Linked DNA regions of Drosophila melanogaster. The protein of the gene in region 2 interacts with the protein of the main gene of each other region in a pairwise test. Each region holds a gene or a part of one and is shown on either strand. Other genes may lie near its edges.

What was found.
Region 1: the proteins of dbr (region 2) and Ets97D interact in a two-hybrid assay, tested with the Drosophila melanogaster proteins (one large-scale study listed by BioGRID).

The regions. Positions count from the first base shown.
Region 1 is NT_033777.3:26,911,062-26,914,991, forward strand, and holds the start of Ets97D (Ets at 97D), read right to left. Parts: upstream 1,826-3,930; 5' UTR 1,700-1,825; coding exon 1,636-1,699; intron 1,559-1,635; coding exon 1,444-1,558; intron 1,383-1,443; coding exon 1,313-1,382; intron 1,258-1,312; coding exon 543-1,257; intron 482-542; coding exon 51-481; coding exon of another isoform or gene 1-50.
Region 2 is NT_033779.5:64,278-68,207, reverse strand, and holds the start of dbr (debra), read right to left. Parts: upstream 1,727-3,930; 5' UTR 1,596-1,726; intron 1,533-1,595; 5' UTR 1,205-1,532; intron 1,166-1,204; exon of another isoform or gene 820-1,165; 5' UTR 701-819; intron 640-700; 5' UTR 584-639; coding exon 446-583; intron 317-445; coding exon 185-316; intron 124-184; coding exon 1-123.

The DNA.
Region 1 (3,930 bases), on a different chromosome or scaffold from region 2:
TCGTACTTCCAGAGTATGTCGGGTTCCTCCTTGAGCTTCAGCTCGCCATGTCACGTGTCTTCTGTAATTGTTTCCGTTGCGGCTACGCGCTCGGGCGCCGTTTTCCCCTCGCTGACCAGCGTGGATAGCTCATTCGCATCATAGCCGATCAATAGCTTCAAATCGCAGTCAAATTTGTATGCGAATCGCTTGCCGGACACCTTGGAGATCATATCCCCATCGTAATAGTAGCGGAGAGCCCTTGATAGCTTTTCGTAGTTCATAGCGGGTTTGTTTTTCTTCTCGCCCCAAAGGCGTGCCACTCGATCCGGGTCAGTGAGCTTAAATTCTCCCTCGGTGCCCACCCACTCAATAACGTCCGTGTGCTCGCAGTCGGTGAGTATTTCGAGTAGGAACTGCCATAGCTGCACTTGTCCATTATTCCCGGAACCGATGGTAGTGTAGTTTGATGGATTCATGGATGACGTAGTACTTTCAACGGCTGTGAACGAAGTAGATATTGTTAGCTCATGCTTTGGTGTAACATTCACACGTCTACTTACAATCAGAGCTCTTGACTGACTGATAGGATTTCCGCATAATCCGCTGTTCAAGCGAAAGGCTGCCCCCTGAATTGGTCGATATGGAATTGGCCGACATGATTCTTGGTTGCTTGGGCTTACGCTGCTCCTCCGCTCGTTTGTGCACTACGGACACGAAATTACATTCTTTTAGCAGCTGGAGGTGGGTCCAGAAGATGTTGCCTGGATCACGGGGCAGCTTCTGATTGAATTCCTCGTGCGTCATTGCGCAGAGTTCCTGGCCATTCATTTGCCAGTCGCTCATGTTGATGCCAACTAGTTCGAACTGCTTGACGGCCCACTCCAGCCAGTACGTCACGTGTGCGTGTGTCCATTCGTTGGCCGCCTCGGGTATCTTCAGGCGTATTTGTTCTCGCTTAAACTTGCTGTCCAGGACCCAATTCAAGACTGGCTTGACATCCTTGCCCTCGACGGATTCCTCTTCGGAGTCTTCCTTGTGCATGCGCTTGAGTGGGGTTTTGATGGGGCTTTCGCTGGAGGAACTCTTCTGGCTGGCCGTTTCCGGCGGCGAGAGCTGGCCCACCACCTCCTCGGCCAAGGCAGCCAGTGCGGCCTCCGTGGGCTTCAGGACGTCGGCGATGTTAATGCGCTTGCGAATAGTTTGTATCTGCACGTTGATCTGGACCAGGCCTTCTCCCTTGACGCATTGGTCCACGAGATTCTTGTGCGATTCCAGCTGCAGGAGAGTGGGGGCTTAGGTAAACATTTTATTACGCCGCAGATAGACTCACCTCCTGCGCGTCCTGCAGCCAAAACGTGTAGTAATTCAGGCACACTCCTATCTTTTGCTCAACAAGTGATCTGTGGGTAGAAATGAGGGTTATTTGCATGACTAATGGGGGCCAGTCTTCGCCAGACTCACTTGAGCATGCTGAGCGGCTCCCGGATGTCCATGTGCACGATGATGATGTCGTCCGGCTCCGCCTCCGTCTCCACATCGATGCTATCCTCGAACATTTCGCTGGCAATCACTTCTTCTGCAAATTGTTTACAATTAATAATTCGGTGTAACAACAGGTGCGTCCCAATTGGGAAATGGCATCATTCCACTTACCCAGGGCACCGCCAACGCTGAGGCGGCGTATTAGCTCGTCCGACAAGTCATTGCTGCTGTTCATCGCGGCTTAAAATCGCAAATAACTGCCTATATTAACAAAATGTTTTTAACAAATTTGTCTCGTGGATTTATTGTTGCATCTTCAGTGTGACCGTGTACGTCGGGTGTGGCAATACCGAATAATACTAAGTGGCGTTGGTACAGGGCTGCATAGTCACTGGCCAGTATTGCCACCAATTCTATCAGATTTCAAAACTCTGGCGGTTCTTTTAAAAGTGATAAAAGTTTCGAAAAAATGTAAATATGAATGTAAGTTAGCAAGTCTGAAATACAATATTTGCTTTAATGATGAAAAAACTTAATAGCATCATATATATTTAAAGAAAAACATCAATTGTTATTTAGTTTTAAAAGAATACATGATTTTGTTATAGTTTTTACTGGCAAATATTTTGCCAGTTTTGAACTATTTTCAAGTTCCCTTTTCCTGTGTGGAAATTCATTGATCAAAAATTTCTTTCATCACCAGCTATTAATATTTTGAGCCTAACGATCTATAAAAATTAGCAATCTGGTGACAAAATGTGTGCTCGCCCCCTCAAGTGATTTCCTAGAAATGCCATCGAAATTAATTGAGGAATTCAATTCGCAACAACAAGTCGATGCTTAAGACACCCACTTGTGGTTGAGTGGTTTGCTCTTCATGCGATATCTTTTCGCCACTTTCTTTCGCTGCAAGACTCAATTGGCCGACACAATTGGCCATGTTTGTGCGTCGGCCTGACTAGGAAGCACTTGGGTGTTCCCACAGGCAAGTGAAGTGGCCAAGTGCTGCTCATTTTCAGCTAATGCTGATTAAATGCCCCGTAACACGATCAGTGGGTCAAAACGGCGGGACAATGAATGCCAATTGTGCTATGGAGCAGAGGACAGCCTCAAGTGCACAGAGTACTTGTTAACACAAGCGTTTTTCCATGTACCATGTACCGAGATATGGACAAAGACGGCTCCCGGCCTGAATAGTCCGGAGTTGGGAGCATTACCTCATGCTGTTGACTCAGTTGGCATAGTAGATGAACGATATTTGCTTGCGAATATCTTGCTGATGACAATGTTTGATTTTGATTTCGGTATTAGCTATAAGTGATTCAATGTCTGCCACGAATGTTCTGGCACATCATCATCCCCATATTGTGCAACCTTGCAACTTCATTTTCCCCTTTCCGTTTCGTGTCCGAAAACGAGGGAAACTAACAAGCCAGAGTGCGGATTTTGTTTTATTTGGGGACTAACTCTGCTTTGTTTACTTGCCAAGCTGTTGACTAATATTAGCCAGCTGGTCAAATTCAGGCGCTTCAGGTCAGTTTTTTTTTTGGTTTCATTTTGCGTACTTTCCAGCCATTTGAAGTTGAGTCATTGTCAAAGTCGTCTCATTTGGATATTATTAGATGTGAGTGGTAGTGAAATTTCTATCTTTCTTTCTCACCACACAAACCCTTATTACTCATTATATGCTAATGAGGACTTATCTCATTGCACGTTAAGTATACGCCGCATTGACCTTCTGGCAGATAGAAATCTATGCAGACCGAAAATTGTCTAGGTCATGACACCCAGCTGCAATGGGGCAACAAACAGATGAACGAAACCAGCCCAATGACAACGTGGAAAACTCACTCAAAACCGTTAGCGTACATAAAACTATGCGCAGTCATTGTGGCGCCTTTGACTGCCAGAAATTCCCATATATTCGGCTGCCAAGAACCGTCGAAATAAAAACACAAAAAAAAAAAAACAAGAAAAATAAAGGAAAACAACCCCTTGGGGTTTTCGCCTCTGGATTATTTGTCCGCCGAGCGTTCAACTCCACGGAATTGCGTCACTGGATGGCTAGAATTAAATCAATAGGGACAACTCCCACGCTGAGCACCAAAGTGGAGCACCAGAGCCCGGGACTTGGAGAATTTGCATTTCCGTGGCCCATACTGAATGGCCAGTATTTGGGTCGTCTAAGGATTGCTATCGCTATCGCTATTGCTATTGCTGCAAGGACATTTCAAAGGCGGTCGGCGTTTTCGTTTCAGCTTTCTTGCTCTTCGTTTCATAATTTCTGGTTTTTAATTAATTGGTTTTTTTTTCGAGTGAGTTATGGTGCCTTTTTTTTTGGTCTGCACCTAGAAACCTTCGCTCGAATTGGGGGCAGGATATGAACTAGTTTGCTATTGGTTTTTCGAAACAAGTCTGCATTATTTATTGGCCAGTTGAGGGCAGTGCAGTCACGTTATTGATGAA
Region 2 (3,930 bases):
CACGTGGGTCAGCAAAATGGGGCGAAATTCATCGATTTCCGCTTGGACTTCGTCGTGTCGGTGTGGGATTTGGGTTGCTGGAACGCTCAGTTGTGCAGCAGCCGCTTCCCTCGCATTCTTAGGCTGGAAGATTTAATAAGTTGTAAGCTTGCTGATTATATATAAGTGGTATATAATCGATTACCAGTGTACTAAGGAGAAAGTCCCGAAACACGAGCTGAGTATGTTTTGCTATATTTGAAAGCGACGCCGTGGCCTCTACTTGGCGGTAACAAGATTTGCAGAGCACTTTTGGCAGAGGATCTTCTTCAGCTACCTAAAAAGAAATACGTTTTTTAAATGTCGAGTCTTAGCAAGTACGCGGAGGTCTTGTTTTGATACTTATTCAGATCTAGGATTAAATTTGATGCAGCGCCAAACAGGCTGTTCCTTTTTATTTACTTACATTTAGATAAAGGTGTCGAGATATTTTATCCTTCAGTCCCTGTGTTTTAAAAATAAACACACTTTCAACCACGGAATTCGTCTTGCTTTTCGTGTTGGCAGCGCAAATGCGGCACAAGTGCTCAAACTGAGCATCCATGTTACGAATTTGAATGCGCCTTTTATTTCCTATCTCAAAGCGTCAAGCCCAACATGCTGATGACAAAATGCAGAAAAATTTTTTAAAAATCCCAGGGGTTCGGTGTAATAGGCTTACTCTTGTTAACACCAAATTTAGACACACACACTACCATTTGCAATGCAGTTCGCCTTGCCCACTACTTCGTTTTCATGAATTTTTTACACTTGCAATTTGAGAAAGTCGTCGCGCGGTTACTGAGAGCGTGCAAAACAAAAGGCAAAATGAAAAACAAATAATAACAAACTGTAAATGTATTGATCATTGAAAGCGGAGAGCGCAAGTCCGAGAGAGTGAGAAACAGAAGCAGATCTTTGCTTTCCTCGTTTTACGCTGTTCACAATTGCTATGCTATGTTTTTGTGGAAAATAGTATTTTTCCATTTATTCTTTTCTCGAAAGCTTTGCAGAAGTCTTTTAGTCTCGACGAACGTTTTGGAATTACGAACATGAGCACAATAAAAGATTTATTCACTTAAAATAGACTTCTGCCACAACGATTTCACCAGCACTTGCGTTGCGACGAAAAAACGAAATAAAACTGAGCGAAATAAATGTTGCTGCCGTTTGCCATTACACTCACCACTCACACATACTAATGCATTTCCGTACACACACAGTTTCGCGCTGATGGCTTACAGTACTCTTTCTTTGCTCTCGCCTCTCCTACGTTGTTTGCACCGCCGGTGATGGTGTGCGTGCTCCCTGACTGTTGCTTGTATTAAACACTTACACGACTTTTGTTTCTATTTTTCGAGCGCTGGTGTATATGTGTGCGGGCTTGGTGTCCGTCTGTTTCATGGCGCACAGCCAGTTTTCCGCTCTATCCATGTGGCCTCAATGGCGTAAATGTAGTCGGCTGGTTTTTCTTTCCACCAGTTTTTTCTTGCGACCGGGTATTTAAGGTGTATCTAAATACCGTTGAAGGCGATTGCATATTCAAAAGCTATTACTTCCCTTATTAAAATACATACGTGCATACATATTATGTATTAATTTGCCGCTCGTAAAGTAAAAGACGACTCGCTCACTTATCAACTGTTGGTGCCTTTATTTACGTTGATTCCTCGCATGAAGCGCTCTCCTTGAACTAAAACTAGTTGTCATTCATTTTGATAGTGTTGGTTGTTCTCTGTTTGCGTGCCTTAGAGCTTATGCTTCTGATCTTTCTTTTGCCATTTTAGCTATTTTCCTGAGATTTTGTGATTCACTATGTCTATGTATTCGTGCATTTACGCCAAAATGTGGGCATAAGAAAAAATTTAAAATCAAGCTTTCGTATTAGCAATAAGTGCGATGTGGACGTACTGGACTTGGAAAACACAGTCTCTTCATTTTGACGTAAAACAAATAAGTAGGCAAACTTTTTGAATTTTCTTCAAGCCTAAAGTGTGCAGAATTTGGATTTTTAGGCGAGTTCCTAGTCATGTTTATATATGCATTTATATATGTGTGTACATATTTACACATATCTTAAATAACAACAGTCAGAAATATGGGTGATGATTTGTTATTTTAAATCTATACATAAGAATCAATATCTTGGGGTAACTTTTACTCTAAAATCAACATTAATAAATACGTTAATATGGCTGTGCAATGCTTTTAGCACATTTATACAAATTGCTTTCCTATAGACATACATATGTACGAATATGAATATTCCTTGGGCTTAAATGCATCCGTTCGCCAAAAGGTATGCAAAAGGTTTGGAAAATACTCCGAACTATCGCATTTATTTCATGAAGCAGCCACACGACTATTTACATTAACATAAATATGTACATACAATTGTACATTTAAGTCATTTAAGTGTATAGGAATATACCCTTGCAGAGAGTATATTGATTCCAGTAAAAACCTTGATGCGCAGTGTGGGAGACATTAAAGTATATACATACATATATTCTTGATCAGTATCAAACTCAGTGTTCATCGCCGTCCGTCGTCAGTCCCTCAGTTTAAAGCTGCATACAGATCTGCACGAAAGTTTTTCAAAAGTCTTAGGTAGTTTATAAGTCGGGACGGGCCAGATTATATCATTTCTTCTTATCCTTAGATGAAAAAAATCAAGGATATGTGCGCCCTGGTACCCAATTCTTACCTAAACACCTTTCCGTTGTGTGAAAGCTTGCTTAACGTACATTTTTAATGTATTTTTTATTATCGTTGGCAGATAGACATCAATGCAAAATGGTGTGCAACGAATGTGTACAAATTGCCCGAATTACATCTCATCAGGTATTTTAAAATTTACGAGCGCATTTGATCGGCAACATTTTTTTCTTGTTATTTACCAATTTATGTATTTTACATATTATTTTAAGTTTGGATACACGTAGTTAAATTATTGTACTGCTACCTTCAGGCATCTTAAACAATTATATATTTGAGGAGGGAAATTAATAATACTATTGTATTGATTCAACGTTAACGAATTTTTACATATTTACAAGGGTAAATATTTGTCATGTTCCTATATTAACAATCAAGATAGTTGTTACAACAGCGTTCTAAATAATAGGTCCTGTCGGTGGGGCCTTTTTAGTCTTATATTTATGTATATAATATGTATTTTTTTTATACATATAGAAAATGTAGTTTGGGCGAAAATGAAGCATACTTTTAGGCTGACAGATTCAGTGCATTTTTTTTTCTTATAATTAAATTTATTTTTTAAGGCATACGGGGAAATCTTGGAGCCCCTTTGTGTCCTTCTTTTCTATTATTTCTGCCCATTTGGGCGCGCCGGCTAACTATAGTTAGCTTTTTCTAGTTTATACAGTTATAATACAGTACATAACAAACACATATAATAAATAGGTTTTTTGATAAGCGTCAGCTTCTGCTGACCCTTGTCAAAGGAGATCGGGAAATGAGATCCCTCGGTTGCCTTCTGTTGAGCCTCCTTGGTGGGCGAGATCTGTTAAGAGCGCTGGCCAGCCGATTTCTGTGGCGCTCCAGCCTGTCATGGTACCTGCTCGAGTGCTGGTTTATCTCGTCAAATACCGTTGCGAGTTTCAGGTCTCTGTGCAGGGTGGTGTTTCGCACAAACCACTCGCAGCCGGTGATGAGTCTTGCTACCTTATTTTGAATAGCCTGGATCCTTTTTATTTGGCTGTCGCATGCCAAGACCCAGATTTGGCACCCATACTTCCAGTTTGGTGCTAATATCTGTTTGTAAATTGTCAGCTTGTTGGATAGCGACAATTTACTGCGCGAACAAAGTAGCCAGTAGTGCCTCGCCACCTTAGCACGTAGTGCATTTTGAACAGTAGTAATCAAACAAATCCGAAATTTGAGTATGTT